Linked DNA regions of Drosophila melanogaster. The protein of the gene in region 1 interacts with the protein of each later gene in a pairwise test. Each region holds a gene or a part of one and is shown in the gene's direction. Other genes may lie near its edges.

What was found. Proteins that work in one complex are often made in the same cells at the same time.
Region 2: the proteins of TwdlM (region 1) and CG7763 interact in a two-hybrid assay, tested with the Drosophila melanogaster proteins (one large-scale study listed by BioGRID).
Region 3: the proteins of TwdlM (region 1) and mmd interact in a two-hybrid assay, tested with the Drosophila melanogaster proteins (one large-scale study listed by BioGRID).

What each region holds. Positions count from the first base shown.
Region 1 is NT_033777.3:26,614,556-26,622,352, forward strand, and holds TwdlM (TweedleM), read left to right. Parts: upstream 1-4,562; 5' UTR 4,563-4,611; coding exon 4,612-4,626; intron 4,627-4,703; coding exon 4,704-5,555; 3' UTR 5,556-5,669; downstream 5,670-7,797. Other genes in the region: TwdlP (TweedleP), read right to left, coding at 6,107-6,769.
Region 2 is NT_033778.4:11,409,982-11,417,632, forward strand, and holds CG7763 (uncharacterized protein), read left to right. Parts: upstream 1-4,528; 5' UTR 4,529-4,574; coding exon 4,575-4,643; intron 4,644-4,704; coding exon 4,705-5,334; 3' UTR 5,335-5,481; downstream 5,482-7,651. Other genes in the region: CG34054 (uncharacterized protein), read right to left, coding at 1-24, 109-442; drip, read right to left, coding at 1,414-1,554, 2,447-2,593, 2,651-3,004.
Region 3 is NC_004354.4:15,968,398-15,977,757, reverse strand, and holds the start of mmd (mind-meld), read left to right. Parts: upstream 1-4,690; 5' UTR 4,691-5,553; intron 5,554-9,360. Other genes in the region: CG42766 (uncharacterized protein), read right to left, coding at 312-335, 442-603, 665-775; Or13a (odorant receptor 13a), read right to left, coding at 1,052-1,126, 1,198-1,386, 1,445-1,552, 1,614-1,713, 2,266-2,697, 2,981-3,333.

The sequences.
Region 1 (7,797 bases):
GTGCCCATTCCCGGTAGCAGCTGCTTTAAGGACATTCGAATCCTGCGAGCACGTGCAACTAGTTTGCTGATTGATTAAACCACGCAACATCGTCTTGAAAGGCCAGCAACTGTATACATACATATATACGTACGTACAAGAGCCAGGACGTTCCAGGAATTGTTATTAGATCGTTTGCTAGTTCGTCCGCCATCGTACTTTCGCAAAGTTGGTTCGCTGCGGATGCTGATTCCGATGGTGATGCTGATGCTGATCTGACGTGGACGGCACACGTGCTAAAGTCACTTTTAACGGAACAACACGGCATCACTTAACGCGCTCCCCGGTCTCGGAACAGCGGTAACCCCCAACCGCCAATCCCCGACCTCTGACCCCGTGACCCCGCCCAGTTCCCAATCCCGAAGCCCATGCCCATTGACTCGGACGTGACAAGTGCGGGCAATGCGCGATATCCCAGCATGGGCCACGATTCCTGCTCATTGTCATGTGCAGCGCATAAAGGGGCGGCTTCGCTGAATGGTGGGCGGGGCCCGGAGGATGTCGAGTGGCGCCCAGGAATATCCAATATGACAGCCCCTGGCGAAGTGAAACCGAAAGTCAAAGCTAAAGCCATTCTTAAAGCATATCAAGTATACGCACTCAGACCTTCGTTTAAGTCAAGCATGCCATAAAATCAAATTCCCAACGTGCTGATGAAATTACTTGCAAAAATATTTAACAACTCGAGTGCGAGCATGCTAAAAATCCCAATTGTTGTCAGCAGGCAAACACTCGTTTTGTCCTGTAGAAACATTAGACAATTGCCGAAATGTACTTGGCCTCCGGCAAGTAACAAGAAAACATTAAGGCATAACCCACTCCCATCCCAAATGAGAAATTGTTTGCCTCAATTAAGCAAGAGCGCTAGCCCACTCATCTGAGCATATTTCACACAACAACCACTCAACGGGGTGCACCTACTACAAAGTAGGTATTATGTAAATATGTTAATTCCCTCTCGGCCCGAAGACAAAGCCTTATGCTCGACCACCGCAGAGGGTCGAGTTCTGGTGACGTTTTCATTAGAAATGCAAATTGGCATGGCGACATCTTCAAGTTCAAGTTGCCGATAAATTTCGAGACGGGACTGGGAAAGCCCAGGTCAGCCAGGTGATAGTTGGATCAACCAGTTTGGACAACTTTAACGAATAAAAGTAGCTGGCTGGCCTCGCTCCATACTTGATTTTCCCTAGTCATTCTACTAAAGATTCATTCCGTTGTGAAACTGCTTTCATTACGTATACGCAGCGTTGGCCCAAATTTATGTCAACCAGCGAGTTGTGAACGGGCGCTATATTTAAGCCTATGTGTTCTTATTTTCTAATTACTATATATATGCATGTTGGCTGCGCCCGGTTCGCTGTGGGCGTGGTGTATCTGTAATTAGTGTTTTGCACACACATATTCATATCAAATGCCGGCATAGTCGCTGCTTAATAAATTAAACGACAATTTGCACTGGGACCGTGCTGTTGCTCGTAAAGAGTCCGGGATCCTGAAAACTGGGACATTAAGCTGGCATTAGGCAGAGGCAGGCCTGCAATTAAAATAAAATGGAGAGCTCAAGCGTCGACGACAATATGCACTATAAGGCAGACAAAAATGTGTTTTTTACTGCGCAGAATGCGTACTAAGGAGACCTCGAAAATAATTTATTGCCTTCTTGTGGGTGCCAAGGATCGCGCAAAAAGCCGCAAATTTATTTGCCGCTCTTATCGCTCTATCCATGTAGAAATAAAGCATAGAGCATATTTTTTTAATATTTTCTATATTTTTTCCTATTGTTGATTTCTTATGCCATTTTCGGCTGATGTGCACAAACAGAAATCTCTTGTATGGCTAACTTTTTAATAAATAATCTCGGCCATTTAGCTGGTTGCAAGCAAAAAATACATAAACACGCAAAATAATAATCAGCATCTGTCGTCGTTGCCGTTTGATTGTCAATACAAAATATTTATATCGCTAACACAATTTGCCAAACAAATTGGCCAGCTCGGCGAAATTTGATTTGATTTATTCCTTTCAGCACTCTCGGATAGGTTTTTTAAAATATTGCGTTTTTTTAGCATAAGCTTTAGTTTAGTTTCCATGGTTTGGTTCGGGTTTTTGCGCTTGAAATAATTGATATCGGCTATTTGCATATCAGATTTAATATATTTGCATATATTTCTTTTGCAAAAGAGAAACGATTTTGCGGCAAGCCAGTCAGCTTTTTGGGTAACATTTTTTGTTTTTTATTTGTCGCCAGGCATGCGGAAATAATTTTGGCAACTAAAACTCGTATCTAGAGAAGAATAGAAACGGTCTGCTCGTAAAAGAGTTCGAAAAGCCGGCAGCTCCAAACATTTTTGCAAAAGAAAGGCTAGAAGCAAACAAACTCGTTTAACTGGGGTTTAACTGGCAAATTTGTCGTTCGTAAATAAAGCTTATGATTTAAGGAAATTACTAATGCTCCAATTTATGGTGAGGCGACAGATTTGATTGGATTTTTGCACCTGAAAGGCACCGCCCGGTTTTGACACCAGCCAGGTGATAGCCGAATAAATTAAATGCACAATTTTATTCGTTTCGACATTCTGGTGGGTGCCAGTACAATGGCAATAAAATAATATAGGGGCAGTCTTGTTGTCTCGAAGAGAGAAAGACTAAAAATAATGGATAAAATAATAAACAGTGTCAGATTTTGTAAATAGATCGATTGACCCAAAAGGCCATTTACATAAAGTGGTGCCAGAAATTCCCTCCCGTAGATGTTTTTTGTCCGCTTGAGCCGTTTTTTTTTTATTTATTTATTGATACGCCAACGTCGTCCGACCGCTATTATCTTCGATTTCGTGCTGGAAACTCTTTTCCCGCGTTTTGACCACTTTTTATGTCGCTGCTGCGTGCATCTTTTATGTGCGTGTGGCGCCCGAGACCTTGAAATTGTGGCTGGGTTGTTTTATTATGCTTACATTTGATTAGTTTGCATATGACATTGCCACCAGCGACTAACTTGGCTGAGATGCTGGCCAATCGGCGAGCCGCAACAGTTGGCAGTGGGCAAAAGGTGGGGCCGCACACAAAGCCAAGACAAATTGTTTTTGACTTTAGGTTATTGCTTCGAATGTGAATCTTAATTGGATCCCGGCCAGCGTGGAATGGGGGGCATCATATAGCATCATTAGATATAGAACCATATAGAACTTGTGTGTGTCCGTCACTGAAAATGATATCATGGTTGTGATGTCTTAGCGGATTTCCTAACTGACCCCATCTTCGAGTTACTCATCGCTATAGTTATCCGTGATATCAATCAATATATATATTAGTCATAACCGCGATTGGCATTCGCCACTATTGATTTGCAAATCGGTTCGGCTATCTTAAATATGGATCTTGGGTATTTCTCCTAAATTATGCAAATCAAATCAGTTTTCAGCGGATTTGCTGCTGCCTCTACCCCCCTTCTGCTCGAAAACTTTGCCGAAATAAAATAAAAAACCATAATTTTTATGATATCAATAAACCATGATGAAAAACGTGATAATCGCTGATCAGATTAAATGGTCGCCTGGCGCCAGCTGATTACCGCCGAATTCCGAATAGCTTCGGGTGCTGGTCAACAGTAAAAAACCTCAAGGTCGCAACGGTTGTTAGCTTTATGGCTTCTATTTTGCGAAGCCGTGTTTTTGCCACAGGTTAAATGGCCAAGCGACGAGCTCCGGACAAATGGACAGATGGGCCGTCGGATAGATGGACGGATGAATGAATGGATGCGCAAAAAGGCTGGCGAAAATTGATTTCTATCCATTTCAGATCCATTGTTTTTCAACCCTACCACAGTCCACAGTCCAGTGTTCGGGTTTTATATGGCCAAACCCTAGAGCAGCCAGTTCCATACACCATACACCATACACCATACCATACCATATACCATATACAATATTCCAAATACCAAAGGGGGACGCAATAATCGCTGGGGATTCCCAGCTAGAAATATGCGGCTGGATCAACTAAAAAGTGTAGAAAAACCGAGTCGTTTTCGAACTCGTTTGGATGCTCCGCTAAATGTTTTAGCATACAAAATATGAAGAAAATCATTTCATTTACTGAAAGCATGACCATTTATAGTAGTGGCTTTTGCTAAACGAGTTTTCAGCCGTTTCCTCCGCCGAGAGCCTGCTCTATTGGATTACAACTTGACGGGTAGGGTCGTGTGCCTAAAAATTTTCGATGATGGTACTACGACTTGGACTGAGGGATCGTGGAATTAGCATAATGTCGACGCCAACATTTGCAAGAATAGGGCGGCCAGGTATCGATGCGCTTTGTTCACGTCGGCTTGGCCATTGTTTTATCGCACAAGCTTCGTTTTTCGAAGGTGGATAGCATTTCAAGAGACAAAAGCTGCCGAAGAAGTTACCAAAAAATGCTGCGGAGCCAACAAATACAACGATGGTAAAGTCTGCATGAACTTGAGCGCAGTTTAGTGACACCGATCGTTGGTTTTCGTATAAATATTGGACCTTTCGGTGATGCAAACGTCAGACACAACCAAGTGGTCAAAGTCAAAGAACTAAATTCAAAATGCGTGCCTTCATTGTAAGTATACGTTCGATCGCCGACGAAATACTCCAAAAGGATACCAAGGATTACAATGCTGTTTTCTTTATCTCCAGGTTATGTGCTTGGTGGCAGTCGCCTGCGCCGATAAGCTCGGCTACAACTACCAGCCCGTGGGACACTCCAGCTCCGGACTGTCCTTTGCTCCTGGAAGTGGCAGCATTGGAGGTGGCTCCATCGGAGGAGGCAGCATCGGAGGAGGCAGCATCGGAGGCGGCAGCATCGGAGGCGGCAGCATCGGAGGCGGCAGCATCGGAGGATCCATTGGTGGTGGTTCCATTGGAGCCAGCATCGGAAGCGGTGCCGGTCTGGGTGGTCTGAGCAGCATTGGTGGTGGAAGCATTGGCAGCATCGGAAGCATTGGTGGTGGTGACGCCCTCAGTGCCCCCGTCTCCTACAACGCCCCTGCCCCAACCGCCGAGCTGGAGAAGGAGTTCTTCACCTTCACCGCCAACGAGCAGGACTTCGATGAGCCCCAGCAGCTGGAGCGTGTGTCCTCTGCCCTGAACAAGGCCCTGCGCGTTGTCTTCATCAAGGGACCCGAGAACCGTGGCCTGGAGAACGCCGCCCTGGCCCTCGCCAAGCAGGCTGCCCAGCAGGAGACCGCCATCTATGTCCTGAACAAGCAGGCCGATATTGGAGATCTGGCCAACAAGCTGAACGCCATCCGCAGCAACAACAACAACAAGCCCGAGGTGCACTTCGTCAAGTACCGCACTCCCGAGGACGCTGCCAACGCCCAGCGCGCCATCCAGGGTCAGTACGACCAGCTGGGAGGATCCAGCCAGGCCCACAACGGTGGTGTTGCCCCCGTCCTGAACTTCGCTTCCGCCGCTCCAGTGCGTCAGGCCGCCGCCCAGAGCCCCGACAACTCCTACCTGCCATCTTCGGTCTTCCGTCGCGTCTAAGTCGCTCGTTTCACTCCTTTCGGAATCGAAAACGCCAGCGATTTTTGACTGATATTAAATCGTAGTTTTTGTTGACTAATGCTTAAATAAATTCAATTCTTAAATTTTAAAACCAATTTGACTTGTTGTAGTGCATTTGTAAAAACCAAAAAACTTTGCAGGCTGAGTTCATTGGGAACGAAACTTCGCAAGTTCGGATTTATTTGCAGCGAAATATTTTCTTGCAAACTTTGAAAGCGCACATAAGTAGAAGCACTTATATATTTCTTAGGAACTAGTTTATACTTTAACCATATTCAAAATTTAATACCAGTTTATGGCTGCTGAGATCTTGGGTTTTGAACAAGTATTTTTATTTCTTCTTTCTTCTTTCTTTCTGTTTTTATTCGATTATCGCTGCTATAAATAGGTATACAATTTATTTTGAAAACTGTTGCATACTTATGTTGCTTTCGTCAATTTTTAAAGGAATTAACCAAATGAAAATACAATAATTTACATAACCAAATTAGATAACTTTTATTCGAAAACAACGTTTAACAATCGATTTTCTAGTGACGCAGGCGACTCAGGATGTTGGCGGGTAGGTAGTTGCTCTGGGGCACCTGTTGAGGAGTAACGCGTGCTGGAGCAGCTCCCTGGGATGCAAAGTTGATGGCATTAGCCACGCCACCGTTGATGGACTGGCTGGAGCCGCCGAGTTGATCGTACTGCGATTGGATTGCCCGCTGGGCATTGGCAGCATCCTCAGGTGTCCTGTACTTGACGAAGTGCACCTCGGGCTTCTTGTTGGCATTCTGGCGCACGGCATTGAATTTCTGGGCCAGCTCGTTGATATCAGTCTGTTTGTGCAGCACATATATGGCAGTCTGCTGCTGGGCCGCCTGTTTAGCCAGGGCCAAAACGGCATTCTCGTAGCCACGGTTCTCCGGCGACTTGATGAAGATGACGCGAATGTTCTTCTTGACCGAGGCAAGAGCCCTCTGGAGAGCAGCCTTATCCTCGAAGTCGTCATCGTTGGCATAGAAGCTGTAGAACTCCTTGTGAACTGACGCCTGGGGAGCGGCACTATAGCTAACTGGTCCCGCCAGTGCAGGGACTGGGGATACACCACTGCCCCCAATACTGGTTGTCGCACCTTGTCCGTAATTATATCCGGACAAGCTACCGGCACTTGCCGCTGCCACAATGCTTAGAATAATGAGGGCACGCATATTGACCCGATGCCTACGAGATATTCTAGACGAATGAATAATATAGCATTCATTATCTACCTTTTATACCGCCAACGCGACGACGTTTAAAATTAGACTAGAAAATCTAGTCAATTGAGCCGTCTAGTCACTTTGGGGTCCCTCTGGCGGAACACGGCGATCATCGATCTCCGCTCACGAATCGTGACTCGCGAATGGCCAGTGGCTATTGGCCATCGGGTTTTCGGAATGCTGTTAATCTGCTAACATAATTTCGCTCTTAACACATTTAACACATTGTTGTGGGCAAAAGACAGCTTCAATCGTGCCGCCGACTGAGATGAGATTCCGAATCGAAGTCCGAGTCCGAGCTAAGATCCGATTGCGAGTCCAGTCGTTTTCCGAACTATCGTGATTCACCCATAATTGGCTTATAATTTATGCACAAATAAAAGAAAAATAACCGATCTCTTGGCTGTTTCAATCGGATTGTTTTGTTATATTTGCTTGAATATGTATACAGAACCGCTTATTTGTTAATGATTTCAACAAAAAAGTGATCGTCAGCTTAATAAAATTAATGATTAGACTTTGTTTTTATGGCTAATCAGGTTTCGATTGGGCATAAATCTTCATTGCCTTCGTATGTGGGTTGCACTTGAGATTCCTTTCTAATTGTACGTGACACACGACGGGCCTCGGAAACCAGGTCATCTAACAGTTGTTGGCATCTTCGCGACCTTGAGCTGTCGTCGGGAAAGAACCAGTTCCTCGTTGGCCGGGAGTCCGGTATTAATGCTTCCCGCTGGCCAAGTGGGTGGATCTAATCTTGTAGTCAATTAATTTGGCGGCATGCGAGTTGGCTATGTCAGATAATTAGTCCATTGATTTGTATGGAAAGTCTAGGTGAATATGATTCGACGAGGGCTTAAACTCATAAAGGAAACCTGCTCCGAACTGCCTTTCCTGATCTTGATGTCGTCAATTCGAGATATTTATAGTTTGAAGGGCACTTTTTATACTTAACCCATCCGCAAACAATCAAGCCA
Region 2 (7,651 bases), on another chromosome or scaffold:
TGGCCCTCGGTGGGACTGGCCAGCCTGCAAATTGAAAAGCAAACAGATGAAATGTGATTCACCCAAGGTCCGGTCCCCTTTATTATCACATTATACCATCGCACTTACAAGTATTATACTTCATCTGATTTCTCAGAAAGCATCTTTCTATCGGTTGCATCCACACCCCAGGAATCTCGGTTGTCCGTGTGGGTTGCTCAAAGGGAGGCCTTTGTGTTGTTGAAGTCGTGATGGGTTTCGTTGTTGAAGTGGTTGTGGTGGGTTCCGTTGTTGTAGTTGTGGTGGATTTTGTTGTAGAGGTTCTTGTGGCATCTGTTGTTGTAGTTGTCGTGGGCTCCGTTGGCCTAACATCTTCTGGTATCTCTGGTATAACATCCTGAGCCCAAATGCCTCCCAACAGAAAACAAAATAGAAACAGTGAAATTACTTTGCCAAAATACATTTTATAGCAAACGGTGCTAACGGAAGCTGATTAGCTTAAATACTAAAACAGATCCCCAGCTTCGATGTTTAGCTAGTCTTTAGCTAGCAAAGAGCGGAGGACTGATAACAGAAACCAATCGACAGAGAGGCTTTAGATGCTCAAAACTACAAAATGAGCGGTTGAGCAAACACGCTGCTTTATTTTGAGCAGCGGGTTCGAAAAATGCTTATCAGAATTTAAGGTTAAAATGGCTTTTTGGATCGCTGCAATTACTTGCGGGTTGGTAAGCACGCATGCGCAACCTACCTTGTAACACTTTATAATTCGACTTTTCGTCTTTATAGGCTGGCAAATGAAGTGAATAGGAGTAGTTACAAATTATGGTTGAAAATAAAATTGTAATGTAAGAAGAGAAAAAAAGTTTTATTTCGGCGGTACTATTACCTGCAAAAAGGAGACAATTACAAAATTCGGTGGACTAATTTTACATTATGCGGCTATTGCTACAAACATTTTAGCGCCCTCTAGTGTTAGGTATTGACATTTAAAAATTCTTTATCCAAAAGAAAAAGGTTCGTTTCTCGGCTAATTGCGTGTAACATACATTTCTATATGTAGAAAATAAGTAAATTCAAATGGAAAGCAACCCGGCCAAATAATAGCATAAATAAATAATAAATAATAAGTCAAAGAATGTCGATTTTAATGAGTAAAAACGTGTCATATAGGGCCAGCCCGTATTTATTAATAAAATACTTATTAAGAATATTTTAGTGTTAATAAAAATATGTCCAAATATTTGCAGTTCTTTTATGATCGAATATGGCAATGGCTTAATTAAACGTCCTTTTCCTCCATGATGATAAAAATCAAACCTAAAAATAAATAACAGCTTAAAATACCGGTGGAATATTTAAAGAAAAATAAAAACACAAAAAGAGAACCAAAATACCTTAATATCCTAATTAATACACGTATCGAGATCCACGTTATGTTTGTGTGAGCACGCAGTACATCATCAGTAGTATGCAAAGGATTGAAAATGCGAACCATGCCATTACAGGGATTCTGAGGGCATCTAGTGACCACAATGATTCATGACCTTGAAATGGGGTACAGCCCTTCTTAAGCTGAAATGTATACATTAGCATCCACACAGAAAAATACCCAGGATACGGCTTAACGCCCGCTTTATACTTATTGCAAAACCAAGCGATATCCATTGAATGCTCTCCTTCCGAATTACGGAAAACTATACTCAATTTCCCGAATTAGTTTATTTCCGAAAGCAGCATAGGTCTAAACTTCATAATTAGTATAAATGTCACCCAATGATTAAGTGTGATGTATTGGTAAGCCCAAATGCTAGCATCAAATTCCTGATTTCTGGACTTAGTTTTACTACATTTATACCCGTTGCTTTAAGGATGACGCACAAGTAAAAAATAGAAATAATAAAAAAGAGTAACTGATGACGATTGGCAATGAATGAATGAAGCCCCAGGACATTCAGACAAAGATGAACATTGGTAATTTCTTTATATTTTTTTATTACACATAGTCATAATACAATTCGCAGGTGCTCAGCAAGTGGCGATCAACAGCGTAGGTAATCCACCTGTTCGCTGCTTTGGAAAGTGATTTCCCAGTACAATTTAGTTAAGCTTCAATACAGTTTTCCTTCGATTCGCGTAATGATGATGTGCATATAATTTAGCTTAAAATTACTCAAATACAATATTGCATATTTTAAAGTGCTGGGGCATCGCGGTACAACTAAACGAGACATTTGCTTTCTTATTGTTTAAAAAATAAAATGGTACAAATTGCGTTGAAAATTCAGCTTGGTTGTGATGGTGGAGCAAACCTAAACTACGAGAAATTTCGGCAAACGAATTCGATGGGAAAGCGAATGTGTGATGGGAATGGAAAGCAGGTGCGGACATTTACAAAAATACATATATGGTATTCGGCCACTGTTTAGAAGTCGTACGAGTCGGTCTCATCATCGCCCTTGCGTACCTTGAAGATTAATCTGTAGATGATTCCGGCCAACAGGCCGCCGGCAATGGGACCCACCCAGTAAACCCAGTGATAGGTCCAGACGCCCTGCACTACGGCGGGACCAAAGGACCGGGCGGGATTCATGCTGGCACCGCTCAGTTTGATCTGTAAATGGTACACTTATTAACCTCCAGTCGGAGAACTCCATCACCTCGTACTCACTGCACACAAATGGCCAGCGGCGATGGCCAAACCAACAGCCAGTGGCGCTGATCCCTTGATATCCTGGCGTCCAGGATCCGAAACAGCCTTGACCACGAAAACCAAAATAAAGGTGATCAGCGCTTCGATCAGCACCGCCTGTGCACAGTTCAGGGAGGGATCAAAGGAGGATACTCCCAGGTCGCCACCAGCCACTCCATCGAGTGCCACCTTTATCACAGCCGCTCCAGCAATGGCGCCCACGCATTGGACGATGATGTAGAAGGCAGCCTTCAGAATGCTGATCTCACCAACGATCAGGAATCCAAGGGTGACCGCCGGATTAATGTGACAGCCACTGAGGTGGCCCAAGCCCTGAGAGAGAGAACAAAATAAGAGGATATTCAAGAATATATTTATTATAAGGCTCAATAAAAGAGGAAAAAAAGTATGAAGATCAAATCAAGGAGGCTAAGGCCCAGTCGAACATAATGTAGATAATGGCCTATCTCCACCTCCATCGGCGCTTGCAAATGTCGAGTTGACAACGCAACATCTTAACCATAGCTGCGCTCAAAGTTTGCCCTTTGCCATGAAGCTGATTGTGCGATTTTCCGAATTTTCCATTGCACAATATCGTTGCATATCGAACTGCCAGCGGATACAAGCAATTTGTCAGACGTGAGATGCACTCGAGTGCATTTATTGTGTTTAGCGTGTCTGCAAAGTTCAGGTGGAGCTGGCTGGGAAGTAAAAGTGATTCGGGGTTCTGTTGAGTCATTGCCCGTGAAGAGATCACATGGAATCACTTAAATGGAAATCGCATTGGATCGGATCGCCTCGCATCGCATCGCATCGTATTGGATTGGATTGGATTGGATCAAGTGTTATGAATGGAGCCCGAAATGCACTGTTCACTCTGCGCCCAAGGTCGATGTGCAGGCTTCTATGTTTGATATCTCTTTCCAGCCGTGTTTCTCTACGTTTTGGTGATACGAATTCGATTTCGATATGGATTTCGCGGTTCGCAGTTCGCATTGGACGCACGGCCAATGTCGTGCGTCGCTGTGCGTTTAATTAATAAATGCGCAAAAAAGAAAAAAACAAAAAAAAATGCCCGTGTGTTGGCTGTTCGGCCACAAAACGCTAATTACAAATGCCGCCAAGAGCAAGTTCGAGTCGCGTTTTGCGGCCCAAACGGCAATAGGCCACAAATCCGAGCAGCCACTACAACTCGAACAACTTCTTGACATTTTGGTTATGCGCATGCGTGCAGCGCAATTTCGACTTCGTCTATACTAAGACTAAGTTGCCGCCTTTGCTGCCGCCACTCAGCCTGACCTAATCGTTTGGATCTAAAGCTTTTAGCCACAATAGTTTAGGCCTATTGTTCTCGACTCAATGCCTCCACTCGTCTTAGCTGCACACACTCGAAGAGTCGTGAAATTAATCAAATTTATTGTCGAGCCCGAAACCCATAATTAAATTTAATATATGCAACGAAAGCAATCGAGATCGACAGACCGGCTGCGTGTGAAAACCGCGAATGACGGACTGACTGAACTTAGACGTGAGTCATCGATGAAATATGGCTCTAATCGAGTTAGGCCTATGTGATTACGCTACGAGTTTATTACGCATTTCGAATGGGTTAATTACACTATGTGACTTTTTAGTTCTAAGCCGATCTAATTAAAAAATGTTAAATATATTTTTAATTTTTATGAATTATGAATTGCATTATGTTTTTCTGTGTATGCAGATAACTATACCCACATGCTGTGCAGAGCGATAAGTCGTACATAGTACCTATCTCTTATCATCATGCAGCGTCAGATTTTCTGTTTCTTTCTTTATTGGATTTCTTTCTAATATACTTGGTTTCGAAGCATTTAAGTCAGTCTGTTTTTGGCACTCGGATTTAAAAGATCTCAGAATCGCAGCAATGCAAAAATCTATTATATTTTTGGTACTCCCGTTGTGTCTGAGTTCAAGTTATTCAGCAGCCTGCGAGGTGAGTGAAGTAGAGAAGTGGTTTAGAAATGCTAAATATTTACATTCACATATCTTCTTAGGGCGTTGAAAGCGATTCCCAATGTGCTGCATATTGCTACGGTGTCTTGAATCCCTGCATCGCGAGCATGGGCAATTTGCAACGAAGGGTTGAAGCCTGTGAAGCAGCTGTTGCAATAGCGAGAATAGCCCTAAATGACCGAAGACTGGACAATTTTGGCACTTCAACGAACTTGCAGCTGGAAAATCAAAATACTTCGCAACAACTGCTGACACACGGTACAGCAATGGGCAGAAAACTGGAAGAAAACGAAATTTTCCAACAACTGGGAAGCAAATACTACTACATCGAAAAGGAAGAGAAGCTAAACTGGCACGATGCTTTGGATAAATGCCACAAAATGGGTGGCCATCTGGCCAGTCTGCAAAGTCAGGAGGAATTGGATAGATTCAATAACCAACTTAATGGCCTGAATCGCTACTGGATCGACGTGACCAATCAGTTCAACGAAAGTGAATTCGTTTCTGTGACCAAAGGATCGAAGGCCAATTTTTTGAGTTGGGCCGATGGGGAACCCACAAAAGATGGAGAGTGTGTGGATATCCGAACATTCAATGGGAAAACTACCATGAACGATAACTCATGTTTTGCCAATCTCTATTTTATTTGCGAAAAATCTATTGAAATATAATACAAAAATATTTATCTCTTTGAAGTTAATATTAGTTTTTGATATCTGACATTTACCACATGGTTTATGGAGGAAATAAGTATAATGTTTATTTCAAAACGAACAAGTTGGAATAAGACTTTATTTACGAATATACATATAATCCTATATGAATTGACCACTATTTCATTATTTTGTGTCAGCACTCTCCGTGCTCTCAAGGTTTTCCATTGGCTACAAAAAGTCTGGCAAGACTCTTCCCCCGATCGAGATATATAAGTTAAGAACCCTCTTCTTGCGCTCTTCGTCAGGACTCACCAGCGCTCGGCTCTCGTGTTTTCGGGCCCCGTCAGCAGGCGACTCGGGGCCTGTCTAGTAACATGTTCGTGTAAGTTACGAACCCTCTTCTTGCGATCTTCGTCAGGACTCACCAGCGCTCGGCTCTCGTGTTTTCGGGCCCCGTCAGCAGGCGACTCGGGGCCTGTCTAGGAACATGTTTGTGTATGTGTGCATTCGGAACAAGTGCCGTTGGTCGCACTCAGGGTGAGGGGTCAACGGGGGAAGCGGATATAAAAGCAGCGGGGCGGGAGAAGAGGCCCCAGTGTCGAACGGACACATAACGGAACCGCTAGCAGATCGCGAACTGAATCTTAAAATAAAGCTAATCGTAAACTCGAACCCTCTTAACTATCTTGACTATTATTTGGAGAACCACAGCATGTTGGTTGTCATATCGAGGTGAGGTATGCGGCAGCGAGTGCCGAGAACCCTGATGCAAGTGGAACTTGCGTTAACTGGCGCCCGAGCAGGGACCGGCAATGTCCGGCCGATAAAAGTGATACGAAAAAATTGTGGAAATTTGTGCGTAAAAATAGTGGTGGTGTGCATAAGTCAGATTAAGATCTGAAATCCATAAATGAAAAAGAAGTGCTGCGTGAGCTGTGTATAAAATGATAAAATAGCAATTACCCGCTGCCGGGGGGAACTACGCCCATCCCGGGGCGCAACAAATATTGCATAATTCAATAAAAGGTGTAAAATTTCTAAAATAAAAATGTAAACCTATGTTGCGCCAAGACCTAATTTAAATTAATAAAACAACGACCCGCTACCGGAGGACGCCACGTCGCCCATGCCGAGCGCAAAAGTTGTACGATACCTATAACATAATTAAAACACGATCAACCCACTGCGGCGGTACGGCTTGTGGGAAAATTTTTTTTTTCTCTCCTTGCCAATTCGCGAGTGCAAAAGATTGTGTATAATAAACCAATAATTAACCATTGCAGCAGTTTACCTGCGGCAGTACGAGTAATATGAGCGCCCAGAGTGATAAGGTGGTGTGTGGCAGCTTGTTGGATACGTTAAGTGGTGTGGAATGCACCCAAAAAAAAACCGCCCAACAAGTTGTGTGGCGGCCGTACCTTAGTAGGCAACCAGCCAAAAGGGATACTACGGAACCACCGTGCCCAGTGCCGAAATAAATTAGAGGTCATCAATAAAAAACTGTAACAGCACGCACGCAAGGAAAAAATATTGCAAAATGGAATAGCGCACAAAAATTGTATAAACACATGCACAACACCACAATTCAAAGGAAAACAAGTATAGTACAATTTCCCCAATTTCCCGAAACGAAATGAATAAAAATTCTCTACAATACACTAATTCACCTTTTTTTACTTATCCCAATAGAATATTCATGCTGTAGGGGTACAACCTAAACGACGAAAACTAATAAAGAGCATACAAGGGTGAGTGAAATATTTCATTAAACTTTATTGCCATATTTGCTAAATTTAGAGAAATAAAGAAAAAGCAAAGAAGAACAGATATTCTTTTTTATCGGGTTAAAACCGTTGTCTCACATTTCCGTAAAGTAATAACAGTTAAAACCAGATCAGGAAAAATTTTCCACAAATCTGATCTAAGAAATTGAGACGTGGCTTTCACATTTAAAAAAGAAACGCGAAAAAGAATAACGAAAGTAATAAAAGTACGTTGTGGCAGCTAATGAAATATTCCCCCCATGCATACCCTATATAAAAAAAACATTAGTTAAAAAAAAAAAAAAAAAAAAAAAAAAAAAAAAAAAAAAGAATGAGTTAAGAAATACAAAAAGAAATACAAAAAAAACTATAAAAAAAATAATATAAAAAAATACAGATTATAAGAAATAAGAAATAAGAAATATAAAAAAATAAAAATATAAGTACACAAAATGTACCGTACCCCCACACACTACGTAGTCTTAGAACAACTTAGACGACCAGATATTTACGAATTGTCTTTTTGTAAGCGCGATTTCTGCATGCGGCGCAAATCCCGCTCACTGGAC
Region 3 (9,360 bases), on another chromosome or scaffold:
GCATTTTTTGCAAAATAAATGCACGAAATCGAGTTAGAATGCTGAAGAGAGTATACAGTCGTCGCAAAAAGTTCACACACCTTCATCGTGAAGAATTGAGAATGTACGAAGCAGAACAGTGCTTTATTTGCTACATTTCAGGAATAGCTACATGTTAGGGAAAATTTTGAAAAATATATGTCTAACGCCATGGCGTCCATCATTTAAACAAATAGTTGATCAGTCCCTCAAGGAGCCACGGCAGCCAAGTAATACAGCACATCGCAGTCCAAACAATCAGCGCGGGTCGCAGCCCTGTCCCGTTTTGTACGCTATTTTACATGGATTACAGAAAGCTTAGAATGGTCAAAAAAAAAAAAAAAAAAAAATATTTCAATGAGTATGTATAGAATTTTTTGGAACATATTAAATAAATTTTTATGTTTTAAGTGTCCCAATTACCACGGCTACCAAGGTGTAGATCACCTGTGCCAAAAATCTTAACTTTAAAAGGAAATTGTAGAATTGAAGGCGTCTCGCTTGGCGCTCAGTCGGATTCGTGTAATTTCTTGGCCGGCGCATTATCTTCATGGAAACTTCGGCGAAATCTATCAAATACACAATCTGCAAGTTTGGGATAGTGTATTGAGTCCATCACATGCTGCTCCATCCATTTCTCACTCACCTTGTCAAGGATATCGATAGGGAAGTGTGCTTCGCAACTGGATACGAATACCTTTATGTAGGTGCGCATAACGTAGTAGAGCAAACCACAGACCCACTCGACGGAAGGCATGGCGAAATGATGTAAGTTAGTACAAATGAATTTACAAAACTTATAAAAGATCTCGAAAAGATTGTATGAATATTTGTTCCGTACTGACTGAAAGGTACCGAATGAAAAACGAACCAGATTTAGGGCATTAAATCATGGCCAACTAGGAGCGCTGGCTGTGCAAGGAGAGGGATAACCTCTAGGAGCTCCAATCCCAGCTTCAAAATTTGTCAAAGTTTCGAATTTTGAAAATCAGCAGAAAGCAACATAACCTTAAACAGAGCTCCACGTTTTTATTTAATCTAGTTTCTTTTCGTCGTCGAAGTAAACTGACCGCAATAATGTAAAGTAACTTATCGAGGTACTTAGAATCTGAAAGAGATGAGTTTAATTGTGCAATTGATATATATATATATATATATATTTTTTTTTTGTAGACATACGGCCGTAAAACTCTGCAAGGACAACGTTGAGAACTTGAAAGCCGTAATCCTTACAGGCTGTTGACTGCAGAGGATCATAAACCAAATCTGGTTTCGGATTCGCTTGGTTGTTGGCGTGAACGATTGTATCTCAATGCGATCGGATCCTTCCCACTGGCATTCATACAGAATTTGCGCTGTTAAGGTAGACTGTTTATCGGAAATAGTTTATTAATATATTAAAAAAAAAAACAATCTACATTCTTGCCTGTTTTATCAATGCGTCGCCATTCTCGCAAAGAACGTATAATTGTGAAAGGGCCGAGGATATGTAAATTATGAACTTCACATAGTCTCCAATGAACATATTTTTTCCCTTATGAAGTTTAGAAAGAAAAGCTAGTCATTATATTAAAATATTTACTGCCAATGCTTACAGTAACTATTTGAAAGCCAACCATGCAAATAAGTACGGAGGAAATCATTAGATTGGCCAGTAGAATTGGGTTGAAAAAGTCCTCGAGGCGCTTAGCAAAACTATTGGCAAAATCAAAGTAACATGTAATGGAATCATTGTAATAGAGTCGTTGTAATAGAATCATTGTAATAGAATCGTTGTAATAGAATCGTTGTAATAAAATCATTGTAATAAAATCATTGTAATAAAATCGTTGTAATAGAATCATTGAAATGAATCATTGTAATAAAATCGTTGTAATAGAATCATTGTAATAGAATCGTTGTAATAGAATCATTGTAATGAATCATTGTAATAGAATCATTGTAATAAAATCGTTGTAAAAGAATCATTGAAATGAATCATTGTAATAAAATCGTTGTAATAGAATTATTGTAATAAAATCGTTGTAATAGAATTATTGTAATAGAATCATTGTAATAGAATCGTTGTAAAAGAATCATTGTAACAGTATCGTTGTAATAGAATCATTGTAATAGAATCATTGTAATAGTATCGTTGTGATAGAATATTTGTAATATAATCGTTGTAATAGAATCATTGTAATAGAATCATTGTAATAGGATCATTGTAATAGAATCATTGTAATTGAATATTGGCACGATACCAACCTGATAATATTGTTGTGTTTTTCCACAATACGTTTGAGTCGCTCCAGCTGAATGCTCTCGGCCAATTCCGCATTGGAACCCGCAAATAAACCTGCGATTCGTTGGTGTAGCAAATGAAATTGGCCACAAGTGTAGGTTATGAAGAAGCCAAGAATGGTGTCCTCTGCAAACAAGGTGGTGACCACACAGATTCCCGCGTAGGAGGTGAAGATGTAGGTCATCACATATCGGATCCAACTGCTCTGGGCATCGTACGGAAAGATCATCTTGTAGGGAAACGGCTTGTTCTGTGCATCGAAGGCGGGTCCAAAGAAGATCTCCACCAGCGGCAGGACACAATACATTATGATCAGGCACGCTAGCAAGGATGTCATTATGCTGAAGGTAACCATGCGTCTGCGACACTCGGCGGCAACATTGTTTTTGGAAGAACTGGAACCCATCATATATTTATATATGTAAATAAAGATTTTCTTACAAATACAGTTTGAAGATGGGTATAGTTACTCAAAAGTCTATATTATCTCAAAACCACTTTAAGTGTCCAAAAGCATGCTTAGAAAGCAAAGTTTGCTCTTTTGCACACAACAATGTAGCACACTTTTCTGCGCATTTACTCAAGTAAGATTGCAAACCTCTATAGTTTTCAATGCTCTGCAGTTTAATGCGATGATCATTTAACATCGCTTATAATAACCCTAATGAATCGACTCACTTAGGTATCCAAATTTCGTAGGAAAAGTTCTCAATAAGCTGGCGGAATTTCCTCTGATTGAGGCGAAGATGGATGAGTCGGACAAAGTTCAGGACACCCATAAAGGTGGTGCAACAATTTTCCGTGGTGATAATAATGTCCGAAAGGTTGTTCAGCAAAAAGGCCGTCTGATAGCTGATTGTTATGCCCACAGATGCAATGACGTACCACGCCCACACGATGTAGGCGGTGGCCAATAAGGATTGGCTCCTCCATGGCCTCGATGATTCGGTTAATGGCCAAGAACCATTCAGTTTCAGCCAAACGCACTGAATGGGAAAGCTAAGTGCTTTGTAGGGATACGAATAGAACATGACTATCTGATAAATGCCACAGCACTAGGTACATCTTAAGGCATTTCTTTCATTTATAGCTTACCAACTGCGCCCTAAAATTACCACTTTTTTAATCATTTACCCTAATTGCACAGTAAATATTTTAGAAAGCGTTTGCACACAAGGCATATACTTACCACCTCATTAAGTGCCGAATATGAAATTTTGATCAAACGCATTTTCCAAGGAGGTGTGTGCCTGTGAAATCCATTAAACTATACTACTTGTGTGTATTTTAATTTTGCTTTATTTTGAAGAACAAAGTGCGTTTTGCTCTCGAAAAATAAACAGGTAAACAGGTGCACATATTTCAATTTTGTTTTCAATTTAATATATTCAAATTAAAAAGCAAAACTAAAAGTATAAACATGCAACCTGCGCCTGAAATCCGTAACACTTTTAGATATATATATATTTTTTTTTCAATTTCTTATACATATTATTTCATTGTAATTTTCCATGATTTTCCATTTATGTATGTTGGCTAACAATGCGGTCTGTATTTATTTTTAGGCTTTCATTCGCCCAAACTTCATTTCGAAACCAGTTAATTTAAATCAGGTCACTGCTAGCTGGGCGTAAGAAGGATATAGCTTCATTCAATTAGACGACGGGGGCGTGGCCAATCTGTGGCGTGGAACAGTGTGGACCCAGTTCTCTGTCCATTGTTCTGGCCAAGATCTCGACGGCCAGATAGACAGGCAGCCAGACAGAGATACAGAGAGACAGACAGACACGGCTAGATGGAAACGTATGTAGAGGCGTAGGTGTATACTACACTTCCTTTTACAATTACGCACCTTTGCACGAATACAATATACCCTTTTGCTCCACATAACGGACATAAACAGACGTACCCGGATTGTAAGACTCGTTGGGGCCAAGGAGTGGATTTTTTTTTTACCGACTTTCGGCGAGAGAGCCAGCGGCTGAGTGCCGAACACCAACCAACATCCATCCGAGGACCAAAAGGATGTGGCCCACACAGCCCGAGAGAGCCAAGATGCTGAATTGTGACGTGACAATAGAAGCGGAGAGCGAGAGATGTGGCCACTCGGCTGGGCTTGGTTTGAGATATATTGGTATGGGATGGGATGGCCGGGATTGGGAATCTCCCAGTTGAGATTCCGGTGCTCTGCGACTGCGTCGTATTTGGCTGACTGAAGAATGGCTGGTCGACTGGGTTGGCTGCCTGGTTTGCCTCCGGTTGGAGGCAATCGTTTTTCGCCTGGCCAAAATCCTGCAGACGTGTTCGAGAGCTTTAGAACGTTGTTTGCAATTGCGGAAAGCGGTTAGCGAGGCACGAGACACGGCGATAGTTTTTAATAGAAGAAGCAGCAGCAGCAATAAAAAAATAAAATAAATTAATACAAAAAACACAAAAAACATACAAAAACCAAAAAAAAAAAAAAACAAACAAACAAACAAAACGAAATACGAAAGCAGCAGAAAAGAGTGCAGATGCAGGAAATAGCCGTATAGTTCGCAGCCAGCGGAGCAATAGTTTATTGAGGAATAATCCCCGAGTCGGCGCCCAAAAAGATCCAACAAATACCCCAGAAACACAACTGAACAACCAGCCCAGGCAAAAGTATATACATATATATATATATATATATATATATTAACAAAGAAATTCGTTTTCAAATCCCAACACACCGTGAACTTAGAATATATATATATACATACGCGTATATATATATGTATATATATATATATATGGAAAAAAGTAAAAGAAAAGAGGAAAAACGAAATGCCGAACGGGTGGGCAAAATGTGAAAACCCAACAAATAACTACTCAGAATCAAATGTTTGATATAGTAACGTAACGAAACGCAACGCAACGCAGCTCTAAAATCGGCTACTAAATCAGCACATTCAAATCAAATATGGAAAATACAAAAATAGAATAAATATATATATATGTCTATATATGTGCACATATATGCGTGTATATGTATATGCTGATGGCGTAAGGATGAAAAGATCATAAAATACATATTTTATGAAAATTTTTTGCATATTTTTTTTACTGTTTGGCCAAAATAACAAACTGAGTGTGTTCATAAAGCAGTACAATGTAAACTTAAAAGCAAACTTAAACGCAAAACGGATAACAAATAATTCATAACTACTCTCCAACTACTGTTTCAATGGATTCTGGTTTTGATTTTTTTCGAATTTCCCGAATTTCCATTGGTGAGTACCGCAATTACGTTTATGTATTTTATATCTATCAAAAATCGCTACACATCCCATGCATATATATATATATATATAGTATATTTCGGTATATGTACATGGCCTCAAGGATTCCAAACTCTGGCAGATGGAACTGAAATAGTTTGGCTAGCTGGATAGTTGGATTGCTTTATGGCCGTAATTATACGGGGGAGGGGAAAATGTATACTTGGTCCAAAACACACACCACATGCCCAACATACTTACTATTATTGCGAATATGGTCCAACTCCCGACTCTCGAGCGGAAATGAGGCGCGGCTGACTGCGCATGACCAATGAATAATAGCGATACAGAAATGCTTTTATCCCACACTTTGTATTCCAATGCATATCTGGATATCCTCTCTCCATCTCGACGTCTCACCGTCTCTCCATCTCGTCATCCCTTCTCTGTCCATGCCGCTCCATTGGCATGCGAAGGAATTTGGAATTTTTTTTTTTTTTTTTTTTTTGGCAAAAGGACTCTGGCAATTCGAAGTGTGTCAGGACATCATCGCCTTTTTCAGCGTCGCTTGCAATGGTGCGCTCCTCCACCAACGCCAACTGAAGACACATTTGTTCACAATTATTTGGGGGTCTGGGCATGCGTTGCCATTGACCCATCTAACCACCCGCAGTTGTGCACGGCAATTCAAATCTCAACGTGCCCCAGTGCTTTCGATTGTTTTTAAACAATTAAATCCACCGCATAATCCCATGCCAGCCAAACGAAACACGTAACCGGATTTGAGATGATGGCAAAGTGATTCCAGGATGATTCCCCCTGCTGAGTCCTTGAGTTTGTGAGTTCTCGTTTAATGGTTGGTTAACTCGTGAGAAATCTGCGCTGGCAGTAAAGTAAACAAGCAGCGGGCAATTTGTTTATCAATCAAAGAAATGGTGTCGGAATTCCGCATTCGCGAGTGTGACAACGCCCAAATGTTTGCTGATCCATAAAGGAGAAGAGCTCCGCGATTAGATCGCCCTACCTACCACCACGCATCCTTCGAAGCTCGAACTTCCCTATCGTTTGGTAGCACATTGACTCCAGATGGACTTATTGGGGGCACAAATCAAAACGCGGCAAAACAATGGGGCAAAGACACAGATTAGGTCAAATAACAATGCTGCTATACACACGAAGAAAAAGGAATGAACTTGTGAGGGAAACTAAAGATGAATGGTTTGAATACAATACAGTTTTCTTTGCATACATTTAACGGACTGAAAAAAATCTTTTAAAACTGGTTATGCTAGGGAAAACATTATTTTTTCATATCCTGTTAACAAACATTTGGTATTTGATTAGTTTCCGGAATCCTTGAATTTTTCTTCGAGTGGCAAACTTATGGCTCTGCACCAGATTAGAAGCCATGACCTACGATTTGATATAATCAATCAAGGCTTGACTTGTTGCCTGTTCAATAAATAGTCAGGATATTCAGAATTCACAACAGTTGAAATCATTTACAAAACGCGGCTTTGTATGAGTAAATCTTTTCTGCGTGTGTAAAACTACAAAATGCTGCCCAATGCTAGTGAGTCAGATACTGCCAAAAAAACTTGTCGGTATCATGGAGTGAGCCAACTTTTTGAGAAACATAATAATGAAAGTTTTGTCAAAACGAATAAATTGGGAAACACTATACGATGGAGCTTCAGCTTTCCGTGCTGTTGTTACTCCATTTGATCGGGAATAGTTTTAATCAAGTTTTAATTGGCAAAGTTGCACAATGAGTGCAATCATTAGTCAGCAGACAAAAAATTGTGTGGCTGGCAAGAGGAATAACTCATTTTATTGGCCCACAGATCCACATCCGCACACATGTCTGCAGTTCCCATCTTTGGAATGCCGTCTAGTCGGAGGCTGCGCATTCGGTCTTTGGAGAGCCAGCCAGCCAGCCAGTCAGCCAGCCAGCCGACGACCACGACTCTCGCGTCCTTAATTTTCATCCCTTTATTTATTTATTTTCCTGTCAGCTGCCGCTGTCTGGTGTGTCTGCCCAAGGTTTCTGTTTCGCATTCTGTTTCTGAATTTGAATCTGAATCTGAGACTGAATCTGAGACTGAATCTGAGACTGATTCTGAGTCCGTTTCGGCCGTGGACGCCCACGACAGCGAGGGAAATATGTGGCCATCCGGAGAATAGATTAACAGGATACACCAGTAGTTAGGGACCTCAGCTCATCTACTCATCTTCATCTTCATCGCCCCTTCATCATCATCATGGGGGCTCATCTCATCTTGGGGCTTTAAATTATGCGACTTGAGTTGTGTTTGTTGGTAAGATGTTGTCATATGTATGCGACCAGCCACTTGGCCTGGAGAAGTACTCATCAAGGTGCCCAAAAGTATGCCACAATGTATTTAAAATGTGCATTCTCAACTCTTCAAGTTCCTTATGCTTGGGAATTGCTTGGGTGGTGTGTTTCTGAAAAATGGTCCATATATTTGTAATATATCATCAGAGTTATTAAAGCACACGAAGAACTGTCTAAAAGTATGCTACAATTGTGCGCAATTATTATACTATACTATGTCTGTTGGTTTAAACTTAACTTATGAAGGTTTCTAAAACTTCTAAAAGTATAAATAGTTAAGTTAAAATATTTATATGTAAAGCATACCATTTTTTCTGCTACAAATATAAATTACCATGTTTATACAATACTTGCATATATTATTTATGCCATATTAGCTTAGCACTTTTGACCGGTTTTTAAACGAATGACATAAAATCATTTGCACTAATAATGTCATTGGCTGGTGAATAAACTTTGTTTGGATACAGCTTTCTATTGGTCGAAGTTGCTTGTTTATTACATTTTTAAAAGTATATAATTGGATTTAGCTGAAATTTCTTAGATAATTCAAACACTCTCGCTTGCCATACGCAAATTGTGATATGCATTCATCTTTTTAATGCAATTAAATGTTATGACAAAACTTTGAAAATAAGTTACTTCTCAGTTGTTGTTTTATAAATTGAAACCATTCTCGTTGTTATCCTTTTCGTTAGTCCTTTTACTCCTTGTAATTTTCCATGTGGGCCACTGTCGCCTCCTTTTGCGGCAATAAATTTACTCACTGCCTTTTCGCCGAAATGACCCAAATTTCAGGATGCCCTCCATATAAGGGAAAATTCAATAAATTATTGCTAAGCCTTTGGAAATTGTGCAGAACCTGTTGATTCTGCAGCCGCCGCAACTAAGCGCTTAATTAAATTTTAGTCGGAATTTTCACGTATATGTATACGCATTTGATATTTTGGAAACAGGCAAAGTCAAAAAAAAAAAAAAAAACTTATCATATATAATATTATTGCCAATAAGATACTATTTATATTACGTTTTATTGAAGTCGAGCACAATTTCAATATCCCTGGATTGCATAAGCTTATGTTTGAAACAAGTAATTTGAAACTGATTGCTTGCTGGGGCAAAAGAGAAATCACAGTAATTGCAGTAAAAGCAAACATTTAATTTGCACGAACGAACACTTAAACAAATTAGCTGACTACACTTAGAAAAACGTATGATACAAAACAAAAACATTACTCGAATATCATTTGAAGCTAAGTGTAAACTACATTTAAGAGAAATTGTCACAAATTATATATTTTTGAGAGCGATTCTAGCTTCGAGTTTCGCTCAGTGTATGCAATAACTGGCGTCAGCAGCGCAGCTTCCAATTTTCCCCTTTGATCCTATAAATTATGTTCGGTTCTGCTTTTTAGTCTCTGATTATCTTTCGGTGCATACGATTGCTGAATTCTGGACGGACG